4 linked regions of the Elephas maximus indicus genome follow. The protein of the gene in region 1 purifies or fractionates together with the protein of each later gene. This does not show direct contact. Links are inferred from orthologs where the notes say so. Each region holds a gene or a part of one and is shown in the gene's direction. Other genes may lie near its edges. The genes, in order: EIF3B, EIF4B, EIF3F and EIF3D.

What was found.
Region 2: the proteins of EIF3B (region 1) and EIF4B purify together in Homo sapiens (affinity purification with mass spectrometry; 3 studies listed by BioGRID and IntAct, with this or other methods). This does not show direct contact. The link is inferred for Elephas maximus indicus from reciprocal best matches to the Homo sapiens genes EIF3B and EIF4B.
Region 3: the proteins of EIF3B (region 1) and EIF3F purify together in Homo sapiens (affinity purification with mass spectrometry; 14 studies listed by BioGRID and IntAct, counting the BioPlex papers as one, with this or other methods). This does not show direct contact. The link is inferred for Elephas maximus indicus from reciprocal best matches to the Homo sapiens genes EIF3B and EIF3F.
Region 4: the proteins of EIF3B (region 1) and EIF3D purify together in Homo sapiens (affinity purification with mass spectrometry; 10 studies listed by BioGRID and IntAct, with this or other methods). This does not show direct contact. The link is inferred for Elephas maximus indicus from reciprocal best matches to the Homo sapiens genes EIF3B and EIF3D.

What each region holds. Positions count from the first base shown.
Region 1 is NC_064830.1:96,692,072-96,699,532, forward strand, and holds the start of EIF3B (eukaryotic translation initiation factor 3 subunit B), read left to right. Parts: upstream 1-4,461; 5' UTR 4,462-4,582; coding exon 4,583-5,075; intron 5,076-7,461.
Region 2 is NC_064822.1:108,528,825-108,536,207, forward strand, and holds the start of EIF4B (eukaryotic translation initiation factor 4B), read left to right. Parts: upstream 1-4,373; 5' UTR 4,374-4,455; coding exon 4,456-4,468; intron 4,469-7,383. UniProt on the Homo sapiens protein: Required for the binding of mRNA to ribosomes. Functions in close association with EIF4-F and EIF4-A. Binds near the 5'-terminal cap of mRNA in presence of EIF-4F and ATP.
Region 3 is NC_064825.1:63,220,072-63,228,023, forward strand, and holds the start of EIF3F (eukaryotic translation initiation factor 3 subunit F), read left to right. Parts: upstream 1-4,936; 5' UTR 4,937-4,954; coding exon 4,955-5,357; intron 5,358-7,952. UniProt on the Homo sapiens protein: Component of the eukaryotic translation initiation factor 3 (eIF-3) complex, which is required for several steps in the initiation of protein synthesis.
Region 4 is NC_064822.1:180,151,257-180,158,223, reverse strand, and holds the start of EIF3D (eukaryotic translation initiation factor 3 subunit D), read left to right. Parts: upstream 1-3,955; 5' UTR 3,956-4,091; intron 4,092-6,589; 5' UTR 6,590-6,599; coding exon 6,600-6,722; intron 6,723-6,967. UniProt on the Homo sapiens protein: mRNA cap-binding component of the eukaryotic translation initiation factor 3 (eIF-3) complex, a complex required for several steps in the initiation of protein synthesis of a specialized repertoire of mRNAs.

The sequences.
Region 1 (7,461 bases):
CTGACACATAACAGATGCAAAAGTCGTTCAGGACCATTGCTCAGATCCTTTACTTCATTAGCACTACGAAATGCTGGTTTTCCAACCTTATTGCTCCTTCCAGAATAATTGGTTAGAATTCTTTTATAAAACAAAAACTTTCCCTCACCAACTATTGCTTACCCTGAAACGTAAGGGCAAGATAAGAAAGGCAAGATAAATTTTTTTGCTTGCATTTTTATTTACTTTTAGAATGAGATGTTCCAACAATATCCAACCATGATGAACAAGAGTTTTTTCCCCCCAGCATTATGAACTCACAGACTCCAACATTTTATATTTCAATCAATTGCAGTATAAAAATACTTTTTAAGGCACAAATTGCCTCAGTGGGGGGTCTTCTGACACTGACTGGAATCCTCCCCCCACCAACATTTTATTATAAAAATTTTCAACCACACAGAAAAGTTTAATTTTATAGTCAACATACAAACACCCCACCTAGATCCTATAATTAACTTTTTCTGTGAAAAACACCACCAATTTCACTCACTTTCATCAATTACTGCTTTCAGTTTCGTGTGCATCCTTCCAGGTCTTTTTCTACATATTTTACATTTTTATCTATATTACCCATGTAATATCTATAACATAACTTTGTGCATTTTTCTTAATCGGTATTCTGCTGTATATATCAATATGCAACCTAATCTTTATGAAACTTAACAGTATGTTTTAGGAACTACACAAGTTATCATATATAAATCCATTTTATTAGTTGCCCATTGCTGTACAACAAATTACCCCAAAATTTAGGGTTTAAAATAAAAAACATTTATAATCTTGTGGTTTCTGCAAGTGAGAAATTTGCAAGTGGCCTAGGTGGGTATTTCTGGCCCAAGATTTCTCATGAGGTTGCAGTCATCTAATGGCTTAACCAGGACTGCAGGATCTGTTTCCAAGGTAGCTCTTTCACACACCTGGCAATTTGGTGTTGACTGTTGGTTGGCTGCCTCAGTTCCTCCACATGTGGGCTTCTCCACAGACTGTTTGAGTGCCCTCAGAACATGCTGGCCAGCTTCCTTCATTGCCAGTGATCCGAGAGACAGCCAGCCAGCCAGCTAGAAGCTTGTCGTTTTTATGACCTAGACTTGGAAGTCACTTAGCATCACTTTTGCCACATTCTGTTCATTAGAAGCTGGTCACTGTCTATCCACATTAAAAGCAGAATTAGGCTTTACCTTTTGAAGGGAGGAGTGTCAAAAATTTCATGAATTTATCACAGATGTGGAGTCCCTGAATGGTGCAAACGGTTAACAAGCTCAGCTGCTAACCAGAAGGTTGGCGGTTGGAGTCCAGCCACCTGAAGGCCCCTCTGAATAAAGGCGTGGTGATCTACTTTGAAAGATCAGTCTGATACACATAGCGTCACCCTGAGTTGGAGTCGCCTTGACAATTATTTTTTTTAAATCACAGGCATATTTTTGCACTTCTGTGATGCTTTAATTAATGAACGTTGCTCCCATTACAGAGCTGTACTTCTAACACAGCACACTTTACCCACCACTGCATAACCAACACAGAGCAGGCGCTTACATAATTTGAATAGCAATTGCAGTGCTTTTCACTTTTGAGGGTGGTGCAACTGCTGATGGTCTTGATGCTCTCTCTAGTGCACTAAACCTGCCATCGTCGAGTCGATTCTAGTTCATAGCAACCCTATAGGACAGAGTAGAACTGTCTCATAGGGCTCCCAAGGCTATTTTTTTTTTTTTTTTGCACTTTAAGTGAAAGTTTACAAATCAAGTCAGTTTCTCACACAAAAACCCATGTACACCTTGCTACATACTCCCAATTGCTCTCCCCCTAATGAGACAACCCACTTGCTCCCTCTACTCCCTATTTTCGTGTCCGTTTAGCCAGCTTCTAACCCCCTCTACCCTCTCACCTCCCCTCCAGGGAGGAGATGCCAAAATAGTCTCAAGTGTCCACCTGATCCAAGAAGCTCACTCCTTACCAGCATCCCTCTCCAACCCTCCAGTCCAATCCCTGTCTGAAGAGTTGGCTTTGGGAATGGTTCCTATCTTGGGCCAACAGAAGGTCTGGGGGCCATGACCATTGGGGTCCTTCTAGTCTCAGTCAGACCATTAAGTCTGGTCTTTTTATGAGAATTTGGGGTCTGCATCCCACTGCTCTCCTGCTCCCTTGGGTTCTCTGTTGTGCTCCCTGTCAGGGGAGTCATCGGTTGTAGCCAGGCACCATTTAGCTCTTCTGGTCTCTGGCTGATGTAGCCAATGGTTTACGTGGCCCTTTCTGTCTCTTGGGCTAGTAATCACCTTGTGCCCTTGGTGTTCTTCATTCTGCTTTGATCCAGGTGGGTTGAGACCAATTGATGCACGCATCTTAGGTGGCCGCTTGCTAGTGTTTAAGACCCCAGACGCAAGGCTATAATCTTGATGAAAGTGGACTGGCACATCTTTCTTCCTCGGACGGCTGGTGGGTTCAAACCGCCAACCTTTCAGTTAGCAGCCAAGCGCTTAAACACTGCACCGCCAGGGCTCCTTTCCAGAATTCTCCCATTGGCAATGAGTCGACTCTAACTCATACTGACCCTACAGGACAGAGAAGAACTGCCTCCATGGGGTTTCCAAGGAGTGGCTGGTGGATTGAAACTGCCGACCTTTTGGTTAGCAGCTGTGGCGCTAAACTACTATGCCACCAGGGCTCCTCTAGAACACTACCCAAATCCTACCTGTTGCCATTGAGTCGATTCTGATTCATAGTGACTCTGTAGGACAGAGAAGAACTGCTCATTGGGTTTCCAAGGAGCAGTTGGTGGGTTCAAACTCCTGAACTTTTGGTTAGCAGCCTAGCTCTTAACCACCAGACCACCAGGACTCCCCTCTAGAATACTAAGAGATAATAAATACTTTTTATTGCATCATGACAGTGTTCATAACTTTCCCTGCAGAAAAGAAAATGACAAATTCACTCACTGGAAGAGTCATGAGTTGCTACTCTGCTACAAGGAGTCCCTGGGTGGTGCAAACTTATCAACACGCTCTGCTGCTAAAGGAAAGGTTTGAGGTTCAAGTCCACCCAGAGGTGCCTCGGAAGAAAGGCCTGACGATCTACTTCCAAAATATCAATCACTGCAAACCTTATGGAGCCCAGTTCTACTATGACCCACATGGGGTTGCCAGGAGTCAGAATCAACTTAATGAAAACTGACTTTTTTTCTAGTTCTGCAATAGAAGCATGCCATAGAAGTCTTTCCTATCTGAGAAACACCTAGGTGCCAAACTATAAACTACAACCTCCTTGTTCACTGGTTTATCACCTTTTAGCACTTTCTAGAAGAAAACGGTTGGCAATGATTTAAGAAAACTGCAAACGAAACTAGAAATTTAGAAGATTCTTTTGGTCTTTAGTGAAACTCATTCACCTTCTGCAGGAGTACAGCTCGAAAAGGTTCCAAGAGCCACTCACCCCTCACTTTGCAGGTGAGGAAACTGAGGCACAGAGGCTCAGAGATTCTCCCAAGGTTACAGTTGACAGGAGGAGGAATCGAACCCAGTATTACGCAACTGCACAACTCTTGTATGATGAAAACATCAGTGGTTGGCCTCGAGTCTGTGGATAAATACCTGAGCCACCCTTGTCGCAAACTCCGCCCCTCCTGTCTCCACGTCGTTGCTCAGACCTTCTGCGTCTTCCTCCCGCCTCACGTGTCTCTTGACTTCTCTGGCCACACCCCCCTGAACCACGTGACCCGCTCCCGGGTCGGAGAGCGATAGTTTCTTGCGGACCGAACCATCGTGAAAGCCAGAATGGGTAAAGAGCAGTGTTACGGCCGCTACAAGTGCAGCTGGGCGTAAGCGAGTAAAGCAACTCTCAAATTTTTGTATTGGGCCGGGAAATATTCTTTCTGGTAGTTTTGGCTGCTTCTTGTTAACACCATATTTTATTTCATTTTGGAATCGTCGGCTCTTTTGCCCAGTCAGTAGGCGAAACTAAAAACCAGTATGTAAAGGGGAGTTTCGTAATATAAGCTAAATGGTTTGTCCGGTTAAAAGCTAGGCTATCACACCAAATCGTTGGTTGAACTTATGGCTTTCTCTAGTATTAATTTTTGAGTCAAACTATATTTACACATAATTCCGCATAGAAAGATCATTTCTGAGACCTCCCTTCGGCGCCACAAGTAGTTCCGTCCTTCACCGAAGCGCTTGATGGGAGCAGGAAGGGCTGGCTGCCATATTGGGTGAAACCAATCCGCTACCACAAACGGGGGTGGTTATAGCTCCTAATGAGTTTACCTAATGAGGAAGAAAACTTAGTGGATTGGAATTGAATAGTTACTTGATGTAAAAATGTTATTCAGACAGTTGATAGGCACACTTCCGAGCTTGGGTGGTTCCCAGCACGTCAGGCGGGGTCAAGGCATGGAAGCCCCCCCCGCAGTGGGCGCGGTGGTGCGGACCTGCCCGGGTCGATCGCACATGGTTAGAGAGTAGGCGCCGGCGAACGCGCGGTGCGGCCTGGGAGAGTCGGAAGCGCGGCGGCTGCGGACCCTGAGGTGAGGGAGGCTGCGCCTGGGCCCATGCAGGACGCGGAGAACGTGGCGGCGCCCGGAGCGGCCGAGGAGCAGACCGAGCCGGGGGCGCAGCAGCCCGCCGCCGAGCCGCCGCCGGAGGAGGAGCCGCTGCGGCCCGCGGGGCCAGGGGCTCCGGGGGCGGCGGACTCGGTGACCGAGGCCAAGAAGGAGGCGGTGGTGGCGGCCGAGCCCGAGCTTAAAGCGAAGGCAGAGCCGGCGGCCGCGGAGAAGGAGACGGAGTCAGCGGGCGCGGTCCCCAGCTATCCGGCGGGTTCGTCCCAGTCCCCCTTGCCGCCGTCCGGGGAGGAGCCCCAGTCCCCGGTTCGGGAGGAGTCCCGAGCCGAGGCCGCCGAGAGTCGGCCACAGGAGTCGTCGAAAGAGGCGGGTGAGGACAAGGGGGACTCGGCGGAGGCAGAGCCACGCGCGTTGGAGAACGGTGACGCGGACGAACCCTCCTTCAGCGACCCCGAGGACTTCGTGGACGACGTGAGCGAGGAAGGTGCGTCCCCGGCCCGCTGTCCTTCCCTGACCTGTGGCCGACGTAGAGAAAGGAGGCTTTTTAACCGAGAAGGGTCAGGGAGCTAGTGTTGGAGATTGACTTTAGATGACAAGTTTCGGTGACATGTGATGTGCCTGTGCCCAAGTTCCAGGCTCTGTAGAAATGCGAGGGAGGTGGCACTGTCTCCCAACTGTTGCCACCAGTGCGTAGTGGAATTTTTCTAGGAGAGCCTACTATCGCTTTCTTTGGGGTTAAGAATATGTCAGAATGATACAGGGGTCCCTAAAGAAGGGAACCTATTATTTGCATTACAGCCAAAAATCCAGGATCGCGGTGGTGGGCGGCTGTCAGACTGTACCTACACAGGAGGCTATGTCAGTGCACACTGATGTGTAGCCATTGGGGGCAGAGCCAAGTAGGACTCTCCTGGATTGGTCTCCTGGACTGACTTCCCATGGTCCAAGGGCAAGACCTCAGGGTTGCTGGTCCAGGTGTCCTAGGGCTGACACAGGTTTTGACTTGTAGAGGTGGCTGCGGATATTTCCCCGCAGGACTGGGAAGTGCAGGTTGTGGCAGAGCTGGATTGGTGTGTCCCTGTTCCACTGGTTTTCTGACTGGAGATTTCCTGCGCAGGATAGTGCAAGGCAGACCTTGCCAAATTCCCGTTGTGGTTACTTTTTTTCCTAAATGTGTCAGGCAAGCCACCGTTCTTGTGTTGGGAGGTTATTTCTCAAATTTGAACCAAAGCAGCTGCTCTGCAGGAAAAAGGCTTGGTGATCTGCTACCTCAAAGATTACAGGTGAAGGAGGGAGGGAGAGGGGTATTCACCAATTAGATAGGAGACAGGAACTATTTTAGGTGTAGGGAAAGACAGCACACAATACGGGAGAGGTCAGCACACCTGGACTAAACCAAAAGCAAAGAAGTTTCCTGAATAAACTGAATGCTTCGAAGGCCAGCATAGCGGGGCGGGGGTTTGGGGACCATGGTTTCAGGGGACATCTAGGTCAATTGGCATCATAAAGTCTACTAAGAAAACATTCTGCACCCCACTTTGGAGAGTGGCATCTGGGGTCTTAAACGCTAGCAGGCGGCCATCTAAGATGCATCAATTGGTCTCAACCCACCTGGAGCAAAGGAGAATGAAGGACACCAAAGACACAAGGTAATTATGACCCCCAGAGACAGAAAGGGCCACATAAACCAGAGACTACATGAGCCTGAGACTAGAAGAACTAGATGGTGCCCACTACAGCGAATGACTTGCCCTGACGGGGAACACAACAGAGAACCCCTGAAGGAGCAGCAGAGCAGTGGGATGCAGAACCCAAATTCTTGTAAAAAGACCAGACTTAATGGTTTGACTGAGACTAGAAGGACCCCGGAGGTCATGCTCACCAGACCTTCTGTTGGCCCAAGACAGGAACCATTCCCAAAGCTAACTCTTCAGTTACGGATCGGACTGGACTATGGGATAGAAAATGATACTGGTGAGGAGTGAGCTTCTTGGATCAGGTAGACACATGAGACTGTGTGGGCAGCTCCTGTCAGGAGGGGAGATGAGAAGGCAGAGGGGAACAGAAGCTGGCTGAATGGACATGGAGATAGTCAAGAGAAGGAGTGTGTTGTCTCATTGGGAGAACGACTAGGAGTATGTATCGAGGTATATATCAATTTTTGTATGAGAGACTGACTTGATTTGTAAAATTTCGCTGAAAGCACAATAAAAATTAAAAAAAAAAATTACAGCCTAGAAAACCCTATGGGGCAATTCTGCTGTCACATGGAGTCGCTGTGAGTTGAAATGGACTCAGCGGCTCCCAACAACAAGCAGCTATAGCTTGCTTTCCGGTGGTTTCTACCTTGATCAGGTTTACAGGCTTTATTTCTGCTGCCTGAGAGTTGTTGATAGCTGATTACATTAGTTTTTGGTTTGCTCTTTTTTTTTTTTTGCCGTTTTAACTCTCCAAGCTCACCAATGGATCCCTCTACGTGTTGACTAGTTTATGGTAAAGTAGTGGCTGTAGAAGTAGCCACTGATACATACACCAAGAAAACTAGATGTTAGCACATTAACATACATAGATTTTTTTGTGTGGTATTGTGCTGGCAATCACATAGATTGAGTCAGAATTACATAGATTCCTAACAAGTGAAAGGAAGAGGAAAATTTAGGACGCTGGCATAGAGTTGTCAACTCTTCATTTAAGTGTTTTCTTAAAGGGCTACTGTCACCGTTTATTTTGTTATGCTTTTTTTCACAAGGTAAAAGACATTCTACCTCAAAAAGCAGGAAAGACATGACAAACTAGTGAAGGCATGGGAGCTGCTTATCAAGTCCAAACCCTTTACCCAAAGGTTACGTGTCCTGAGGTGGAGTAGATTG
Region 2 (7,383 bases), on another chromosome or scaffold:
GGATCCAAGTAAAATGAAATTCTTGACAACTTCAATCTTTTCTCCATTTATCATGATGTTGCTTATTGGTCCAGTTGTGAGGGTTTTTGTTTTTATGTTAAGGTGTAATCCATACTGAAGGCTGTGGTCTTTGATCTTCATCAGTAAGTATTTCAAGTGCTCTTCATTTTCATAAAGCAAGGTTGTGTCATCTGCACACTGCAGGTTGTGAATGACTCTTCCACCAGCCCTAATGCTGCGTTCTTCACACAGTCCAGCTTCTCAAATTATTTTGTATAGGTTATATAGATTGCTTGAAATATCATGCCATTTATATGCTGATGACTCCTATTATGTGTCCTCCCAAAATATGTGTTGTAAATCCTAACCCCTATAGCTGTGGCTGAGGAGCCCTGGTTGAACAGTGGTTAAGCGCTCGGCTGCTAACCAAAAGGTCGGCGGTTTGAATCCACCAGCCCGTCCACGGGAGGAAAATGTGGCAGTCTGCATCTGTAAAGATTATAGTCTTGGACATCATATAGGGCAGTTCTACTCTGTCCTATAGTGTCCCTATGAGTTGGAGGACTAGAGAGCAACGGGTTTGGTTTCTTTTTTATATCTGTGATTATAAGGGGCTGTGTTTTCTTTGCTGTGTTAAGAGGGCATATCAGTTTAGGGTGTGTTTTAAGCCAATCACCTTTGAGATATAAAAAGAACAGATTAGGCACAGAGAAGCAAGCAGAGATGGGGGAAGATAGATGCCCTGCCACATAAAGATCACCACGGAGCCAAGAAACAGAAGTTGAAAAGAGACAAGGACCTTCCCCCATGATGCTCTGAATTCAGACTTCTAGCCTCCTAAACTGTGAGAGAATAAAATTTCTGTTTGTTAAAGTCACCGACTATGGTATTTCTGTTATAGCAGGACTAGGTAACTGAGATCAAACCAAAATCGAACCCTTTGCCGCTGAGCCAATTCCGACTCATAGTGACTCTACAGGACAGAGCAGAACCGCCCCATTGGGTTTCCAAGGAGCAGCTGGTAGATTCGAACTGCCGACCTTTTGGTTAGCAGCTGAGCTCTTAACCAGTGCATCACCAGGGCTCCAGGTAACTAAGATGGCTCCCGAATTCCTATTTCCAGACTTGGTCTCTTTCAGGAACTCCAGATCACCTACTTGACATCACCACATGGTTGTCCCCAAACCAAAACCCTTTGCCGTCGAGTCGATTCCGACTCATAGCGACCTTATAGGATAGAGCAGAACTGCCCCATAGGGTTTCCAAGGAGCAACTGGTGGATTCAAACTGCCAATCTTTTGGTTAGCAGCCGAGCTTTTAACCACTGTGCCACCAGGGCCCCTACGGTTGTCCAGTACTCTGCTATTCAAACTGTGGTCCTCAGACTGGCACCATCTGCATCACCTGGAAGCTTGTTAGAAATATAGAATCTCAGGCCTCATCACCTCAGCCCTGCTGAATTGGAATGTGACTTTTAACACATTCCTCAGGTGATTTATAAGCACATTAAAGTTTGAGCAAACTAGTTGCTGTCCATACAGTTCCAACTTGTCACAACCCCATGTATGTCAGAGTAGAATTGTGCTCCATAGGGTTTTCAATGGCTGTGATGTTTTGGAAGTAGATCACCAGGCCTTTCTTGTGAGGCACTCCTGGGTGGATTTGAACTGCCAACCTTTAGGTTAGTAGCCAAGCACTTAACCATTTGTGCCACCTATTTCAAACTTCACATGGCCAAAATAGAGCCCACATACCCCCTCTAAACCTGCTCCATGATAGGCTTCACCATGTGAGTAAACAGCATCACCCAGGTTGTTATGGATTGAATTATTTCCCCCCAAAATGTGTGTCAACTTAGCTAGGCTATGATTCCCAGAATAGTGTGATTGACCATAATTTTGTCACCTGATGTCATTTTCCTATGTGTTGTAAACCTTATCTCTATGATGTTAATGAGGCAGGATTAGCGGCAGTTATGTTAAGGAGACAGGACTCAATCTACAAGATTAGGTTATGTCTTGTGTCAACTTCTTTTGAAATATAAAAGAGAGAATTGAGCAGAGAGAGTGGAGGACCTCAGGCCACCAATAATGAAGAACCAGGAGGGGACAGCATCCTTCAGACCTGGGGTCCCTGCACTGAGAAGCTCCTAGACCAAGGGAAGATTGATGACAAGGACCTTCGCCCAGAGCCGATAGAAAGAGAAAGCCTTTCCCTGGAGCTGGCACCCTGAATTTGGACTTCTAGCTTCACAGACTGTGAGAGAATAAATTTCTCTTTGTTAAAGCCTCCCACTTGTGGTATTTCTGTTAGAGCAGCACCAGATAACTAAGACAGAGTTCATGCCAAAAACTTGGAAGTTAACTTTGATAGCTCCCTCTCCCTTGACTCTCACATCTAATCAATCATCAAGTCTACTTCCGAAATATATCTGCATCCATCCTTTTCCATCTCCACATTCACATCTAAACCACCATCTTCTCTCACAGCAATTTATCCACTAAGGGCCAACTTATTCATTAGGCGTAATGCCTAAGACCCACAATACTTCTAGGGTCTTTCTCTTTCATTATTCCATCTGTCTAATCTACTCTCCATTCAGCAACCTCAGTATTCTCTTTTTTCTTTTTTTAATTAAAGTATGACTTCCATACACTAAGGTCCAAAAATCTTAAGTGTACAATCTGATGCATTTTTACAGTTATACATTCATATAACCGCTACCCATATGAAGGTACTAAATAATCTTTTTTAAAAAATTATTTCAAGTCGTGGCTTTCTCCTGCTTAAAATCATTCCGTGCTTGATAAACAAAACAAACAAAAAGGAATATTATTCAGTTATGAAGAAATGAAGTTCTGATATATGCTACGACATGGATGAATCTTGAAGATATTATGCTAAGTGAAATAAGCCAGGCACAAAAGGACAAATATAAAATAACTAGAATCGACAAATGCATAGAGACAGAAAGTAGATTAGTAGTTGCCAGGGACTGGGGAAGCTGAGGGGTGAAGGAGGAGTTATTGCTTAATGGATACAGAGTTTCTGTTTGGGATGATGAAAAAGCTTTGGAAATAGCAGTGATGGTTGCACAGCATTATGAATATAATTAATGCCACTGAATTGTACTTAAAAATGGTTAAAATGGCAAACTTTATGTTACATGTGTTTTACCTTAATTAAAAAAAAAAAAAATCATTCCATGCTTTCCCAACCACCTCCTGGTTTACAAAGCCGCACTTGACCCAACTCCTGCCTATCTCTCAAACTTCATCTCGTACCACTCTCTTACTGTTTTTGTTAGCTGCCTTCGAGTTGGCTCTGACTCATAACCTTACAGATATCAAAACAAATAGTTGCACGTCCATCTCCATGATCGTTGGGATGCTACTAGCCTTTAAATTCATCAAATTGGCAAGGTGTTCCTACCCTGGCCTTTGATGTAACTGCACATCCTCTCCTTCCCCTAAAACTCTCCCTGAATACGTTCGCAGGGCTAAGCTGCTTGTGATTCAGATCTCTGCTTAAATGTCGCTTCTCAGGAGGTCTTATCTAGCCACATTCTAGAGTTGCACCCACTCAGTCATTTTTATTACATCACTTATTTTAATTACCTCCAGAGTCCTTATCATTTCTAATACTTTATTTATTAATTTGCTTATTGTCTGTCTTTCCCTCTCTGGAATATAACCTACTTGAGGGTAGGGATCTGGTCAGTTTTGTTCTCTCTTGTACCTGCAAATGTCTTTAACAATGCCTGGCACAGAGTAGGTGCTCAACAAAAATTGTCATGGACTGAAATATTAATATATGACAAAATGGAGCATTAGCTAGCGAAAACATGGGTAGCACTCGGCTATGAAATCATAGAAAACCGGGTTTGACTAAACCTAATCAGAAAATTGTGAGGATTAAACAAGGTAAAAATCCATGGCAAATAATGTTCAGTATTTATTAACCTAATTTCTTTTAAGCACGTTTATTTACAGCATTTTTAGGCAGGATTGTGAACTTGTTTCGCTTTTACAAAAAGTATCCGTCCCAGAAAATCAATTACGGCACACCCATTCTAGGTTCTAGCCCGCCTTGATTCTATCCCTATTAGTGCAGCCAGCAAATACGAACACGCCTGTTCCGCCTAACGCACCCGCAGGAAGTCTGCGGACCATGAGAACCCGCCTCTCGTCCGCGCGTAGTCCTACGTAAAGCGTAAGGAATTTCGCGACAGCCCAAGCCCCACCCCTCCGGCCTCATGTCGCGCAGGTCTTCCCGTCGGACGCAGCCCCACCTCCTCGCGCTGCTTTACGAACCTGGAGCAGCGCCGCCCCGCCTCCGGTCTCCCTCCTTACCTCCCCGCCCCCTCCCAGTTTCGCGTCTCCTAGGCCGACGCGCCCGCTATAATCACGTGATTGCCTCATCCGGGTCCTTTGCGTTCTCTCTCCCTCTCCCAACATGGCGGCCTCAGGTGAGTGAGCGGCCGAGCGCGGCGAAAGACCGGGCTCCTAAACCACTCTACCAACCTGATCCACTGACTACCTGGAATCGGGAGGTGGGCGGCACTGCTTCCCTTAGGATTTGGGGGCTGCGGCAGGCTGGTGGCTTGGCCATCTTACATTATTGTCTCGGGATGTTTAGGGGGGAGGGGAAGGTGCCCTTCCCCTCCCCCTCACAGCCTTTTCACCCGGTCTGCGCGAGGCTCGAGTCGGGGGTAAAGGTGGGCTCTGGCTTGAGTTGGAGCGAGGAGGCGCAGAAGGATCTGCGAGAGGCGCGAGATGTTTTCATGGACGTGATACACTGTGCCCGCTTGAAGACGTGGAGGAAGGAAGGAGCGGTTGGCGCGCGGACCGGCGCACACTAGACTAGGTCTCCAAGGCGCGAGGCCGTTGCGGACTGGAGCGGGGGCAGGGGGATAAAGGGGGGGCAGTTAGAACGCGAGCGCGTGTCAGTGGAGGGGCGGGGGTGAGGCAGTGGTGCGCGTGCGCGGTGGGAGGGACGAGGGTAGTGGAGACAGGCGCTCCTCAAAAGCATGCGCGAGTGCCTAAATGGGAAGGCTTTACGCGCCTCTGTTGCCCCTTTTTATGTCCTTCCACTTTCTGCTCTTTTCCTCTAAGAGTGTGGCCCAGCTTTGTACTCTTAAAGGTACATGTGTCAGGTTGGAGGTTGAAGCTACTAAAGTTAGGTGGGGGTAGGGAACTCTGGTGTACCCACGTGTTGGAGCGGAACCAGGGCTAAGGACTTAGATTTTCTTCTGTGCCTTTTTTCTTGTCAAATTTTTACTGAGCGAAAACGTTGTGCAAGGCACCGTGGTAGGCACTGGAGATAGTGGTGAACGAGATTAGGTCCCTGCTCTTATGAAGCTTCTATTCGCGTTGAGTTTTTGATAGTTCCGGTGGTAGAGTTCAGTTTTTTTTTTTTTTTATAGATGTAGAACTACTAGGGATACAATTAAAATGAGTTGAGTTGTTTTTTGAGGGGGCGTTATCACTGTCATGCAGATCTTTCTGATAGACTTGGAAGTGCAGCAGTAAGCTGTGCAACATCTTGTAGCATTGATTTTAGTTTGACGAATATAATTTTTTCACCCTGGCATCACCCTGCATTCCACAAAACATTCACTGAGCCCCTGCTATCTCTGGACACTCACTTCTCACCAGGAATTTTACCTTCTTTATTATTTATAAACGAGGCTAAGGGTTATGCTTATCTTTAGAAAATGTCGAGGTAGTTGAGGTGCAGTTGAACATGATATCTTTCATTGCTGTTCATTGGTGTAGACTTGCCAATTGACCAAGCAATTCTGTGTGTGTTGTCTCGTTTGGTCCTCTGTGAGATAGATGGTGGTATGCCTCAGCCGAGGACAATGAAATGATTTGTTCAAGGTCACACTGCTTGCAGGTGGCAGAGCAAGGCTGAAATCTAAGACTGTTGACTCATTACCATCACCTACTTGGGAGTACCAAGGTTGACTTCCTTTTTTGGTGTGCTGTCCAAAAGCTTCATCTGAAGTTTAAAAAATTGTACTTTTTTTTTTCTCTCTGAACTGGTACAGTCCTAAATTTATTTTAAGCTTATCATTGTGTCAAATACCGATTTGGCCTGGGTTTGCCATCTTGACAGTTAACTGTCTCATAATTTAGTGAAAAGCCAGTATTCTCCTTATCCATAACTTTTGTGAAATTATTACAGGTAGAAGACCTGTTAGCAATTATATAATCTGTGTCCTTCATTTTACACATGAGTTCAGTGAAATCCAGGCTGGTTAAAGGGGTATGCTCAGTGATGTCCCCTTCTCCTGTTTTCCATGTTTAGTTTACCCCCTTGGAAACACTTCCTTAATTCAGTGGATACTTATTTAGCTTGTTTAGTCTGTGCAAGGGGCACTATGCTGGAATCTGTGCTCAGGGATACATCTGACAGTCTGTCCTCGGGGAGTTTTAGGTTTATCAGATTTCTTTTCCCCTTTAATCTTTTACACTGTAATTGACTGTTGGGTAACCAGTAATACCAGATCTGGCTGTACTAAAGAGGCTGTAAAATTCTCAGTGTATTTTCAGTGTTTCCTGATGGTGACCAGTGTTTTGCTGGAAGTAGATCTTGTATTTCCTCTGTGGAAATACATGATACAACTTCATCAGCCTCTTTTGAGACTGAAAATTCTTCGCAGCAATACACATTTCCAGTGTGACCCGTCGTTGACTTCAAGAACTGGAAGTATTTCAGGGCTTACTATTAAATGGAGGTATCTTGGATTTTTAGGAAACTTGATACATTGAGACAGGCCACTTGATTCCTTGTTTGGCTTCTTAAGAATACTCCCCTGAAACTGAGGTTTTCATTTTGTTTTAACTTTTGTAAATTTGTTACAGACCATTTACCTCTTGGGTCCCAGTTTCCTCATCTATAAAATGAACATAGTTTATCTGCTCACTTTAGGTATAGAGAATCAAACGTGTTTGATACATGTTAGCACTTTTTGAAACTAAAGTTGGCAAAAGTGTGTGCATACCTATGTGCAACCCTTTCATTTTGCATAACACTTAAATGCTATTGAATATGGCATTTTGTTTGATTTTTTTTTTTATGGGGAGAGGATGGTATCCATTGTTTTCATATGGTGCTGACCCTCATAGTTATTTTCCCTTTGATTAACCTATGATATCCTTCATATGTGCATTATCCTGTGATTATCCAAAGAGAAATAGTTTCAGAGATTGCCATTGGATTATGTTTGCATTATTACCTGTTTTCAAATCCCATTCTCTACCATATATTTGTTATTCTGAGGCTAGGATACCTAGATTCAGAAGGCCAAAACTAAAAACGCCTTACGGAAATTCAAAGACAAATACAGAGAGTAAAAAAAAAAATCTGACTCATAGA
Region 3 (7,952 bases), on another chromosome or scaffold:
CCTCTCTCTCTGAAGACCCTAGCTCTCTTCTACAATTGCAGTCCAGACTGGGAAATTTGTCTAGAGAGGAAAAGAAACTCCAAAGAAAATGGACCACTTTTGCCTTTGCACCATATCTTTAAGTTGTTGAAACTACTGGAGGATGCCCTCCACCAGAACAAAAGAAGGAGGAAGACTCAAGATCCATGAAATAGGAATCCAAACAAGGAAAAAACAGTCCTAGAAGGCAGCTCGTCTAGAGAGCTGAGAGCTCTGAAGTCTCTGACAGGGAATGGATTTCTCCAGAAAGAATATCTCCAAGGGGGAAAAAAAGAAAAGGATTCATAGATCAACTATTATGATTGACCCGAAAAATTGTACTAGAGCTATTGGAAGACTGTGGGAAAAACTGGCAATAAGTGCCAATGAAGTGGGAAAATATTGCTTGAACATCCAGATGGTAGAAAAGTTAATGTTTACGGGAACTGATGAAACCCCTGTGAGCTATAGCACGCCTTGCGATTCTTTTCTGATTGTTCTCTCTCAGCACTGTATAGGCTTAAGATTAACCTGCGTGTTCTCTCTCAACATGAAAAACAAGTGATAGGATCTGGGAACCGAGGAGTCAGAAGACAGTGATGTTAGAAGACCAAACTTCAATGACTCCAGAAGGGACCCTAAGAATACCTGGAAAAGATCATCACGTCTGGAAGGTGATTTGCAAGACCACCTCAAAGGGGAATTAAAAATTCTCCAGATTCCTTGGACTTAGCTTTTCTTTCCCTATAAAACCGCCCAGCTGTCTCTTTCGAGACAGACAGAATTTAGGAGTAAACTATCCCCTCTGTTTCTTGGATACCGGTATTCAGTAAAGCCCTCTTGCTGTTGACCTCCCTCCTGTCTCAGTATTGGCTTTGCAGCAGGCCGCTCGAATCTGTGATTTATGGTAACACCAACAAAACTAGACAAATGGAACTAAAATAAGGAATTACTAACTCTGAGAAAAGCAAAACGAAAGGAAACATAATAGTAAATGACAATACTCAGGTGTGAATAATGTTTACATAGGAATAATGATGTAACCACTGAGTATCAATCTAACTAAAATGGTAACATAACCATATTGAAAGGATGGTGATGGAAGAGTTAAATGCTTGTGGGCTGGAATAGGCAGTCCCTAGATAACACCTAAAACTGGTTAATCAAAAGGTAGCAGTATACATACACTGTTTAGAAATGGAAAGATGTAAGAAAAGAAATCTAAAGTAGATTTCTGAGAAGTCACCCTCAGGGAAGAGGGACTAGTGGGTAGTGGGAAAGGTTGGAGCAGGGAATTACTCTCTGTGTCACCTTTATTGGATCTCTTTCCACAGCATTCAAATATATTCTACTCCCTCCCATGTTCAAACAAAGGAAACCTTCTCTTGACCCTGCATTTCTCATGTCACCTCATTCCCTCTCTACTGCCATGCTTTGGCAAGATTTGTCTATACGTGTTACCTCTACTTCCTTAGCCGCATTCTTTCTTTGTTGAACTTTTATTTTATCAAACATGCTTAGAGTTTTAAAAGTCAATTAGCATTAAAAAGCATGGGGAAGCTAAGCATGACCACCATTTCTAAGTCAAAATCTTCCAAAAAGCCTGAAATGACCTCACTGCCACCCCAATCCCGTCAGAAAAAAAATCAAGCAAACTTTCTCAGGAGGAAAGCTTCCCCAAATTAGGCCCCAACAGCTATTGTCGAAAGAGCCCTGGTGGCGAAGTGGTTAAGCATTTGGCTGCTAACCTAAAGGTAGGGAGTTTGAACCCACCAACTGCTCCGCAGGAGAAAGATGTAGTAGCCTGCCTCTGTGAAGGTTATAGTCTTGGAAACCCTTTGGGGCAGTTCTGCACTGTAGAACTGACTATAAGGTCACTATAAGTCAGAATCGACTGGACGGCAATAGGTTTGTTTGTTTTTCTCGCTTGCTACAGACTTGAGATAGCCTGGGGCTCTCCCTTGTTGTCCTCCCTTAATCTGAGCTGTAGCTCCAGCTCCTTTCACTTCAGTTAGTGATCTAGAGGATGGGATAAGTTTATCAAGCTACAGGCCGCAGTCTTATCATGAGGCAGGCAGTATGACCCTGGTCTTTTCAGGCAGAACCATTAAGCGTGTACCCAAGCAACCAGAAACCTAGAGCAATCCCTGTACAACACATTCTATATAAAAGGGGGATAGTCCATTGTTCTCTCTCCCCACTCCTTCCACCCTTTACCTGAAAAATTTGAGGCTCCCAAGCTTTCAGTTCACAGGGAGCAGCCTTCCTGGATCCCTCACTCAGCCATTGGAAAGCCAGTAGCCTGTGTCTACACACTCCCTGATCCTTGCCAATTGTCTCCTGTGGAAAGACAATGCCAATGATCTCCTCCTGCCCCTGGGCTACATGGCTGCTGGAAAGAAATCACGAAAGTCGGCCAGCTGGTCCTTGTACAACTTGAGCTCTCCAGGCTCAGCAGCCCTCCCATAATCGTCAATGCCTTGTATGGCTTTTAATGGCTCACCCTCAGCCCGTCTTCCAAACACTGCCCATTCCTCCAAGCCTAAACCCTGCTCTGGCATTGCCATTCTCAATAGATCACCTTGCTTCCACTTCCCTGGGAGGGGGGGGATGGCATTTGAGAGGAGCCCCCCACTACTTCTCTGCTCTCCCCAGCTCAAAATTTATCTGATTCTTCATCATCTCCTTCCCCCTCCAGAGAGAAAGGTCCTATGGTCATTGATATAAAGGCAAAAGTGAGTTCTTGAAGGTGAAGTATCCACATCCAAGTCAAATGAACTCGTTGACAGGCGGTCCCACGGGTGTGAGTGCTCAGTTTGGGGCAGTAACACCTCATTTGGGCTGGTTGTCTCCTCTGGCCTTGACCCATGAGATGATGTCAGGGAACCAGCCCTGGCCTAGGTAGATCCCCTCCCCCCCCACCCCCCCACCCCCCCACCCCCCGCCACTAGGCACCATAAGAGAGGCCAACAGGCCAGGGCAGCCTCTCCTGCATGCCCCTCATCCTTTGTAAAGCCATCCCACTCATCAAGGCTTCTCAATCCAGGCCCTCCTTCCTCCCTTATTTCATTAGATATTGCCGCTGACTCTTATATATTCAATCTTTCTCTTTCTTTCAGATCTTTACCTGCAATTTAAAGTACACTTAAAACTCTTCTGGCCTCAATTGTCCCCTCTCAACCCTGCTGTTCCTTAAATGTCTCTTTTTCTTCCCAGGCAACTTCCTTGAAAAGATAGCCAGCACACACACCCTTCACCTCAAACTCACCATTCTTTCACACCTGAATTCTGGTTTATATGTCCCCCTCCCACCCAATTCCACTGACCAGTTTTCTACTGGGGTTGCTAAAGACATCAGGTTATCAAAAACAAAAGCCACTTTTCAGTCCACCTCTGGTGGGCTATTAACCTGTGTTTTGGGGAATTCAGAGAAGGAATGTGTGTTGACACAGAGCATGACAGAAGCAGGTATAACAATTCTAATTACGGATGGTAACCTCAAGGGGAAAGCGAGTCTTGGGCATAAAAGTCAGAGGTAGGAAATCCAACCTCATCCACCCACCTTGCCAGCTGGATTAGCTGGGACTTAACCTAACTTAGGAGTTTACAGGTTTCGGTATAGACAGATGTTCCAAACCAAACCGGTTAACATCGAGTCGATTCCGACTCACAGCGACCCTACAGGACCAAGCAGAACTGCCCCATAGGATTTCCAAGAATGGGCTGGTGGATTCAAGCTGCTGACTTTTTGGTTAGCAGCCGAGCTATCATCCCCATTATACCAGAAAGGAACTGAGGCTCTGAAAAAAAAAAAAAATTGAAGCTTGTCCAAAGTCACACAGAAAGCTAGGACCAGGGTTCCTCCCCATAGTTATAGTAATGATAATAAAACCCCAAACCAAATCTGTAGCCATCGAGTCAACTCTGACTCATAGTGACCCTACAGGACAAAGTAGACATGCCTGTCATGGATTGAATTATGACCCCCCAAAAATGTGTGTATCAACTTGGTTAGGCCATGATTCCCAGTATTGTGTGGTTGTCCTCCACTTTGTGATTGTAATTTTATGTTGAGAGGATTAGGGTGGGATTGTAATACCAGCCTTAATCAGGTCACCTCCCTGATCCAAGGTAAAGGGAGTTTCCCTGGGGTGTGGCCCCTTTTATCTCTCAAGAGATAAAAAGAAAGGGAAGCAAGCAGAGAGCTGGGGACCTCATATTACCAAGAAAGCAGCAACAGGAGCAGGGCACATCCTTTGGACATGGGGTCCCTGTGCCTGAGAAGCTCCTTGACCAGGAGAAGATTGATGACAAGAAATCTTCCTCTGGAGCCGACAGAGTGAGAAAGCTGACCCCTAAGGGCACCTAACAACAACTGCATTAGTTATTTATCTTCCTTTTTGAGTTTTTTTTTCCATGCTAGAATGTAAGCTATTCAAGGATCTTTGTCCACTGATAAATCCAAAGCCCCTAAAAGAGCGTTTGAAACATAGTAGGCACTCAAATTGTTGAAAGAATGAACCACCCTATTGACACTTTATGATCTGGTCAAGAACAAAGCCCTATTAATGGAACTTTGACATCCATTTTCCCATTTAAGAATGAAAACACGAACTGCGACCTTGCGCTGCTCTCTGGCTCCACCTGGCGGCACATGGGCAAACTGAGTGGAGTTATTTTTAATCTCCCAGCGCGGTCTTAAATTTACCCGGAACTATTTACCGTGGTTCTTATGACGTGCTCATCGGACCGAAAGCAGTCACACAAACTCCGGAAGAAATTACAAACAGAGCAGGAAATTTTCGTGCCCCGAGAAGCACCATCAGTAACCAATAGGTGGAAAGATACAGTTCACGTGGTGCATATTTAGCCTATCAAAGTCGTAAAATTCACTAAGTCACTCCTTTCCGCTCTTGGCTTCTTCTCTTTCGACAAGATGGCCACACCGCCTTCACCAACGAGTGCTCCTCCCGCCACTCCATCCCCAGCACCGGCTACGGAGTCGGCTCCAGCCCCAGCCCCAGCCCCAAGTCCAGCCGCTGCTCCGGCTCCGGCTCCGGCTCCCGCTTCCGCACCGGTCCCGGCTCCTGCTTCTGCCCCCGCCTCATCCTCAGACCCGGCGTCAGCAGCGGCTACAACCTCGGCCTCGGCGCAGAGCTCGGCCTCAGTGCAAGCCCCAGCGCAGACCTCGGCGCCGCCGCCGCCGCCTGGTCCAGCTCTCCCAGGGCCCTTCCCCGGCGGCCGCGTGGTCCGGCTACACCCGGTCATTTTAGCCTCCATCGTGGACAGCTATGAGCGACGCAATGAGGGCGCTGCCCGAGTAATCGGGACCCTGCTGGGTGAGTGGTGAGATAATACCGACGTTCTTTTTTCCTACCGCCCACCTCCCATGTATCGCTCCCCCTTCTCATAACCCTTTCGTCTCTGGCGTCCTGCTGCCCCCTCCTCCCACCCCCACTTTTTGCTTGTTTCTGCATCTCACATATAATAGATAGTTATTATTTACTGATAAATATTGGGTACCAAGTGATTTACATTTTATTTCCAACACCATTTCACGTCAAGTATGATAACCTCCATTCTACCAAAAGTGAGCTTATATGCTCATATGCCGACTGGCAAGTGATTAAGTTGGAACTAGGACTCTTGATTCCCTAAGCACAGTGACCAAGTTTCCCTCCTTTACCACTGACTGGAGCCCTGGTGACGCAGTGGTTAAACGTTCGTTAAACCAAAAGATCAGCAGTTCGAATCCACCAGCCGCTCCTTGGAAACCCAGTGGGCAATTCTCTGTTCTGTAGGGTCGTTATAAATCGGAACCGACTTAATAACAACGGCTTTTTTTTTTTTTAATCCACTGTCTAAATGTCTCTATTTTCCAAATTTTTACAAAGAAGTTTCTAACCAGCTGGCCAAGGAGTGGAGGCATCTATAAAAAGATACTCTTCCTAACAAGTAAACCAGTTTGGCTGGAGCCTGTTGAAGGTTTTATAGTATTCTGTCTTCCTAAACCCTGAGTCTGCCTCAACACCATCTCTGATATGATAAACCGTTTTCCCAATGCTGTCTCTGATTCTCTATTTGGATAAAAACCATTGTATTAATCTGTTTATGATTGACTCTGACCTTCAAATCAAAGAATAGTCTTTTCCCTGCCCGTGTTCCAAGTTTGGAGAATAGATGTTTTATGTTAAAGTCATTTTAAAACTTAAAATCACTGAAGATGTATTGTTAATAATAAATGTCTTTCTTTGGGGACTACTGGTCCCACGAGATTGATTTTCACTCCATTTTATCGCAGGCTTTAGACATCTTTGCGGACCCACTCCAGTCCCGTGCATCATTTCTCTTTCTTACTCTTGAAAATGTAGTAGTCCTTACACCTTAGAAGACAATACATTGTCTTCTAAGGTGTGAGGACAAGATTTGTATGCAGACACCACCAAATGTTAGCCATGTGCCTTGAGGCAAATTACCCAAAGTTAGTTCTTTTGAGGGCTACTTTAGACTTAGTGTTTGTGAGAACTAAGTTATTACAGAAAGCATCTAACTCAGTTCTGGTATACATTAGATGCAAAACAGCTTTACCAAATCAGGCCTGAACTCATTGCCAGCGAGTCCATTCCAACTCATAGCAACCCTGTAGAATAGTAGAACTGCCCCATAGAGTTTCCAAGGCTGTGGAAGCAGACTGCCACATTTTTCTCCCGTAGGGTGGGTGGTGGGTTCAAACCACCCACTGCACCACCAAAGCACACACACACAAGTTCTCCTTTTTATCTTTGTGGGTGTAGCACTTGGTATTTACAGAAACTAAACAATTGGCTTCCAAACATAGCTATGGCTTTTCTCAAACCAAGCCTTTACGTTTATATTCTCCTTGTCAGAAATGCCATCCCTGCTGTGCCTCAGTTGTTTTTTAAAGTTGTACCCATCTGCCAGGTTCCCAGGGCAAATGTCCAGTACCAGTCCTCCACCTCATACCACATCCTCAGCCCATTCTTAACCTCTCTAACCATGAGCACATTCTTTGACTGTGCCCTGCTTTGAGGTCCTGTAACAAATGATTTTTGCATCACTGATTTGGTAGTCAACAAACACTGACTTACTCCTTCAGCTACACTGTCAAGGTTTCTGAACTTTGTGGAACTATTTAACCAAAGTTTATGCTTAAAAAAAAAAATTGCCGTCAAGTTGATTCTGACTCATAGCAACCCTATAGGGCAGAGTAGAACTGCCCCACAGAGTTTCTAAGGCTGAAATCTTTGTGGAAGCAGACTGCCACATGTTTCTTCCATGGAGTAGCTGGTGGATTCGAACCTTTTGGTTAGCAGCCAAGTGCTTTCACTGTTGCATCACCAGGGCTTCCTGGTTTATGCTTAGTGCCCCAAATATCACAGCAATCCTCTGGAAGGTCCCCTTCCAGATGGAGATCGCGGTATAGCACAAAGTGTTATAGGGGCAGTGCTTATACAAGGACAAAGCATAGATCCTGCCTGTAAGAAACTTGGAATTTTCCCAGGTACACGTTCATTCAAGAAACATATTTCATTTGTTTAAGTGAAGTTACGAGTGCCTTTTGAGTACTGGAAACTGTTAGATACTTAGAATTCAAAGTTTGAGAAAATGAGCTGTACTCTAACCTTAAACTTAAGATGGACAAATAGTCTTATATACAAATAATAAGAATGTAACGTGATGAGTGATCTGATAGAAGGGTGTTCGAAGTGCTGTGGAAGTACAGGAGACTATCTTGGAAGGTTGGGAAAGGATTTACAGAAAAGATGGATTTTGAGCTGGGCATTCCAGCAAATATAAGAAGTGTGAAACACTAGAGTGTTAAGAGCCATCACACAAATAGCTTTATGCACACCTGTGTTTATTGCAGTATTATTTGCAATAGATGGAATAATGTTCCCAAAAAGATGGAAACA
Region 4 (6,967 bases), on another chromosome or scaffold:
GACTTTCTGTGGAAGTGGAGGTGATGGAAGAGGAGGTGACACCTGAGCCAAGACTGGAGGATTAGAGGGAGCTGGCCAGGGTAGGAAAACCCTGGTGGCGTAGTGGTTGAGTGCTATGGCTGCAAACCAAGATGTCAGCAGTTCAAATCCACCAGGCACTCCTTGGAAACTCTATGGGGCAGTTCTACTCTGTTCTATAGGGTCACTATGAGTCAGAAATCGACTCAACGGCAGTGGGTTTTTGACCAGGGTAGACCTGGTGGGGGGCGGGGGGGGGTGTCCTGCTGGGGAAATAGCCCTGCGTCAGGAACAGCCTTTTTTGTTCCCACACGTGCCCTTCCAAGGAGGGAAGGATGAGTTCTCGCATGCTGGGATGGGAAGGGAACCTCTTGGCCATCCAGTCCAGCATTCACTCTGGAGAGGAATCTCCTTGTCACACCTCTGGCTGGTTGCCATCACCTTCTCTTGGATGTCCCCAGTGCCAGGGAGCTCACTACTCTGTTAATGCTACTGTGCCTTCTTGGGACTCTTTTCTGGTCAGCGTTTCCAGTTCCTTTGTCTATTTCTTGGTGTCCCACACCCCCCACTCCCTCATGCCTTTTTTTGTGTCAGAAGTCTAACAAAATGGCCATCTCCAAAATTGCTCTTCTCTCCTCCTCCAGTCTGGGAACAACTGTCATTGGCACCTCCCCCCGCCACCATCCCCTGCTCAGTTCCACCCTCCTATTTTGGGTGCTTTTTGGCCTTTTATAGGCCTCCCTTCATGTCCACAAGTTCCCTCTACTCTACCTTCTCTGCCCCACCTGAGCACCTCCACCCTCTCATAGCCTGCAGTCTACCGGGGCAAAGATGCTCCTTCCCTCTTGCGTTGCTTTGGTCATCTTCTTTGAGTTGGCACTAGTCTTTTCCGGTCTACCCACATTCATTTCAGCTCCTGGATTCTGCCATTCCTTCCCCCTCAGGGGACTCCCTGGGTGGTGTCAACGGTTAAAAGCTAGGCTGCTAACCTAAAGGTTGGAGGTTGGAGTTCACCCAGAGGTGCCTTAGAAGAAAGCCCTTGTGACCTACGACCGAAAAATCAGCCATCGCAAACCCTATAGAGCACAGTTCTATTCTGACACACGTGGGGTCACCGAGAGTCAGGATCAACATGACAGCAACTGGCAGACTATGGAATGGAGTTTAGGATTTTATCCTCAGGGTAACGGTAAGCATCTAAAGGGTTTTAAGGGTAGGGGTGGGGTGAGCATGTGCTGACTTAGTGTAAAGCAGGGGCATTCTGCTGCTGCATGGAGAATGGACAGCAGATAGCAGGAAAATGGCAACAGGGGTGTCAGTTGGGAGGAGGAATGGAAGCAAGATCTCCCACCTAAGCCCAGGGACCCACTATTAGGAATGAGACTGGACAGTCCAAATCCATCTCCATCTGGGTGGGCAAGGATGTCTAGGCCGAAATCTGGGAAAGATGATTCAGTTCTCTGACATGAGTCATGGAGGGAGGATGCAGCAGATGGCCTGTGAGTCCATGATCAAAGCAGTTCAGCAAAAATACATTTTCCCTTATGGTTTAGAACAAGGACAATTTATTATGGATATTAATTACACTAACATTTATTGACGGAAACCCTGGTGGCGTAGTGGTTAAGTGCTACAGTTGCCAGCCAAAGGGTCAGCAGTTTGAATCCTCCAGGTGCTCCTTGGAAACTCTATGGGGCAGCTCTACTCTGTCCTATAGGGTCGCTATCAGTCAGAATTGACTTGACAGCACTGGGTTTTGGGAACATTTACTGAAGGAGCCACTGCGGTGCAATGGTTAAGCATTCAGCTGCTAACCAAAAGGTTGGTGGTTTGAACCCACCTAGTGGTTCCATGGGAGAAAAGACCTGCTCCCATAAAGATTATAGCCTTGGAAACCATATGAGGCAGTTCTACTCTGTCCTATAGGGTTACCATGAGTCAGAATCAACTCCATAGCACACAACAATAACATTTATTGACTGCTTATCTATGTGCTAGAGTAATGTGCTGAATTCATTTTTTCATGTAATTCTCACAAAACCTCTATCCATTCATTCAACACGTCAACAAATATGTAATGTTCTAGGTAGACAAAGCTCCTATCTTCATGGAGCTTACACTCTAGAGGGGGAGACAAACTCTACACAAAGAAACAAATAATATTCCAGGTAGTGATGAGAACTATGAAAAAAACAAAGCAGGGTAAGAAGGCAAGGAGGGATGGAGAGAGAAGGAACTATTTTAGGAAGACCTCTTTGAGGAGATAACTCTTCAGCAGAGATTTGGATGATGGGACCAAGCCAACTATGAGTAGATGTGGGAGAAGAGTGTGTCATGCAGAAGGAACACAAGTGCAGAGGCCCTGCTGAGGTGGACGTGTTTTCATTGTTGTTAAAAAAAATTTTTAAGGAAAACTGAAAAATGAGCCAATTGAAAGAGATCTTATGGAAGAAGGTGCTATTAACATTCTCATTTTACAGATGAGTAAGTAGGTTTAAAGAGGTTGAATAATCTGTCCGTGTTCATCCATGGACATGGGTAAACACGGAATTACTAAGTACTTTAAACGGAATTTAAAAGGAATTACTAAGTACTTTAACATACACGGAACCCTGGTGGTGCAATGGTTAAAGGGTTTGTCTGCTAACCAGCAGGTCAGCAGTTGGAATCCACCAGCCCCCCTTGGAAACCCTACAGGGCAGTTCTACTCTTGTCCTATAGGGTCGCAATGAGTCGGAATCGGCTCTATGGCAAAGGGCTTCTTTGTTATAACATACATTCTTTATTTTTACAATCACACACACAAAAAAAAAAACCTGTTGCCCTGGAGTCGTTTCCTACTCATAGCGCCCCTACAGGGCAGAGTAGAACTGCTCCAAAGGGTTTCCAAGGAGGGGCCGGTGGATTCGAATTGCTGACCTTTTGGCTAGCAGAGAAGCTCTGACACTGCCAGATATGGAAACTGAGGGCCAGAGAGGTGACACCACTCCGCCAGAAAATGGCAGAGTCCAAACTAGATCCCAGATTTGTCTAATAATAGATGTATTTTCCAATAAAGGAGACAGGCTGGGAGACGAAGGAAACCTAGGAGACCAAGTAGAAAAGGATCTGACTGAGTAAATCACACCGGAATTGACTCGTCCACAACAGGTTCGATTTTCTGGTGCTCCTTCTGATCAAAGTTTTGAAATTTCTCCGGTAAAGACTCCAGGAGAAAATCCCTACGCCGAGAGTTGCAGAGAGGACAGCATTGTTGCCCAACGTAGCAAAGTGGTTCTGAGTCCCCCCACTTCAGAAGCACAGTTGCCAATTTAAATGCAAATTCCTGGACTCCTCTTTAGGCAGATTTGAATAACTATCTGTGGGAGCGAGATTCGTAATCTGCATTCTTTTAAAGTAGAGCTCCAGTAATCTTTGCCGTACAGTCAAGTTTGAATAGTTTTTAAGTAGGATTTGGACACTGGTAGACACTCCTAAACTAGCACTCTAAACTAAGCAGGTCATTTTACACGTCAGCTTCCGCTACTGTAAAAAGGAAACGGGTGCTAATTACTGTAAAAAGGAAACCGGTGATAATTACGAACCGGGCCTAAAACACTCGCCCCACCCCTTGCTGTAAGAATCAAATGACATGATTGGTTAAAGAGAGCGGGGGAGCCGCGGGTCATTGTGGGATACAGAGGGGCGGAAGGGTCCCGTGAAGCATTCTGGGATACTGAGTGGATCTCAGCCTCTCCCGGCCCCCAGCCTCGATTGCACGGCCGCTACGTTTCAGTGCTGCCTGACGTAACTATAATCACACCTCTTGCGTCTTGAAGTCTGGGAGGCTTCGGCTCACACCTCGCAAAGAGCAGTAACGACTTTCCGGGTTACCTTAGCTTTACGGCTCGTGCGTCTTACCACCGAACTCGGAAGAAGCTGGCGAGCAGTTTACGACAGCGCCGGTCGTGTTTACGGCGCCGGCTGCTGCGCGCGCATGTTCTCCCTTTTCCCTGTTCTCCGAGTGCTTCTGGTGACTCGCGTTTCTTGCCCCGACCATCTCCCGCCATCGGGGAGGGCCGAGGCCGTTGCAGGTGAGCGGCGTGTTGTGTGGGGTCCTGAGGGCTTCCGGAGCCGGTTGGGCTGGATCCTGCCTTCAGGGGCCTCCCGGAAGAGACCTCCTGTACGTGCCCTCCTGCTGCCGCGGTTCCTCAGCCGGGCGGGGCAGAGAGCCACTTTTGGAGGCTCCGAGCCCAGCACCCCTTGGGGTGCGGGATCCGGCCCAGTTGGTGAAGTCTCTGGCTTTAAGCTCGCTTCTTGGCCACGGTTTAAGCGTATTTGGTTGTCACTTAACTCAGCTGGGTCTCAAGGTGTTTCTAAAGTGGCTGGAGGCTTCCTGAGTTTTTTCTACGAGTGGGTTATTGAGGGTGGTAAGCTGAGCGATGTTCGACCCCTGCCCTGAGGAATGCGCAGCTCAAATGTTTCTTTTCCTTTTCTTTGACATGAGAGGTTAGGATGGAGAATTGACCTGATCGGAAGTCTCTCTTCGCCCAGGGGTTGATGGGTGCGATCTGCGATGGCCTCGACAATATCTACACAACACTGTGGCCAGTACAGCTGTCACTGTCCATTTTCCCCGAACGACTCCATTTCCCCTACTGGTTCCATTCTGCTCGCTCTGTTTTACTTGGGCTGGAAAAGTGCATGTCAAGCCTTGGGCCGGTTTCCTTCTTGAGCTTCTTACAGAACGACTAAACTGAAAGAACAGTGTATTTGCAGACATTCTTATTGCGTTGTTAAGTATGGTCTGAAAGTCCCAGAGTTTTTCAGACTGCCGCCCAGCTCTAATGGGATGAAGAGAGTGTCGGACTTACGGCAGACTGCCCTGTAAATCGAATCAGTTCAGAAACCATGGACAGGTCAACCGCTTGATGTGGCTGAGGTTCAGATTTTTATCTCTAAAATCGGGAGGGAGGTAGTGGTGTTAAAGTATCTAGTATGATGCCTCGTCCATCCAAAACCCGAACCCGTTGCCATCGAGTCGATTCGGACTCATAGCGACCCTATTGGGCAAAATAGAACTGCCCCACACGGTTTCCGAGGAGCACCTGGTGGATTCAAACTGCTGACCTTTGGGTTAGCAGCTGTAGCTCTTAACCACTATGCTACCAGGGTTTCCGCCTCGTACATACAGCTCAATAGATATTTATTGAATGTGAATTGTTGAGATTACCGCCCCTTCCCTCTGTCCTCTTTGCTAGCATAGCTTAAGTTCAGAGTTGGAGGATGAAGCTCCTAGGTTCATTCCCTGTTGCTATCATTCTAGTGTCATCTCTGTAGGAAGCCTCAATCTCCCCATTTTGGACAATGAGGAGAGTTTACTGAGTTCAGTATATCTCTGCTTTTCGATTTGCTCTTCAGCTTCCAGGAAATGCTTGTGTCATGAGTTTTTCTCAGGGAACGAAGGTTGTGAGCACTTTCAGAGTGCTGAAATGGATGGTAAACACATAATTTTTGGTAGGGACTGTCAGGCAAGCATCTGCGTTGGAACCCCAGGCTCATATACTCCTGAGAGGAGTTAAAGCGTTGTGCAGAGAGTGGACTCTGGAGCCAGACTGCCTGGATTCAAATTCCTTATCAACTACCATTGAGACTTTGGGTAATTTCTTAACTTCACTGTGCCTCAGTTTTATTATCTGAAAGTGGAAATAATACTGGTCCCCACCTCACAGGATTGTTGGGAGGATTTAGCGAATTCATATATGGTTAGCACTGAAAACAGTACCTGGTATCCATAATATTTGATGTATGGTAGCTTTTGGCCTAAGGTTTATGGTGACATCAGCCTTCTGGCAGGCCTTTGCCTGGCTATGTCCACTTGCTCTGCACACAGGATTTGCATTGGTGATAGAAAATTGGAAGAACAAGAAAGGAAAGTCAAATTTTCTGACATAACTTACGGATTCTTTTTTCTCACCACTCTTTGGGCATAAATGTATTTTGCAAGGCTGGGTAGTAATTATGTGGCATTTTACAAAGGAGGCATTTTCATGTGTGTTGACCAGGACTTCCACGGTGATCTCGTAGTACAAGATAAAGCAAGGATTCTATTTATTTTACAGATGGGGAGACGGGGGCTTAGGGAGGAATCGTATGCCTGGGTTAAGGGGCTTCTAAGAACAGAATGTGGTTATTACAGTTGCAGAAGGGTTACCAGATTTCATCAAATTTGTGAGACACACTGATGTTAAGAAGCACCATTATCTTATGTAACGCCGAGAAAAACTGCCAATTAAGCTGTGGTACACCATCAAACATAAGTTGTAGCTTCATTTCAAAGATGTCACAGCTGAAAAAGTGTCACAGAACTAATGAAATACAGTGAATCAATTTGGTTATCAATCTAATGAGCTTTATTCACAGTGTCACTTATAAGAAAGCATCTCGTCAGTAGCTCAGTAGTTCAGAGTTGCATTTTGTGTGTTGCTTTTTGAATTTTTATCATTTCTGTCTGGGCCTACCTCAAATGGAGGACTTTTTGTACTGTGAGGCCTTTCTTCCCGCAGCTACTCACCTTATTTGTGTCTTTAAGGTTTTAGAAGATGGCGAAGTTCATGACACCCGTGATCCAAGATAATCCCTCAGGCTGGGGCCCGTGTGCAGTTCCCGAGCAGTTTCGGGATATGCCCTACCAGCCGTTCAGCAAAGGAGACCGGCTAGGAAAGGTACTTGCCTGTCAGCAGGACTCTGCGTCTTTCAAGCTGTGGCTGTTACTCCCCAGGAGTTCCTGTTTGCATTTTATTCTCTCAAAAGCATAACCCCTGCGTTCCTTATAGTGATACCAGCTGAGAAAGGCTCTGACCTCTGGAAGTAGTCACAGGAGAGCTGCGTACTTACAAAGGCATTGTGATCCAGTTCTTCTGAGACTTTATCACACTGTTTCCTCCTGTAACTTTTTCAGGGGTTTCTG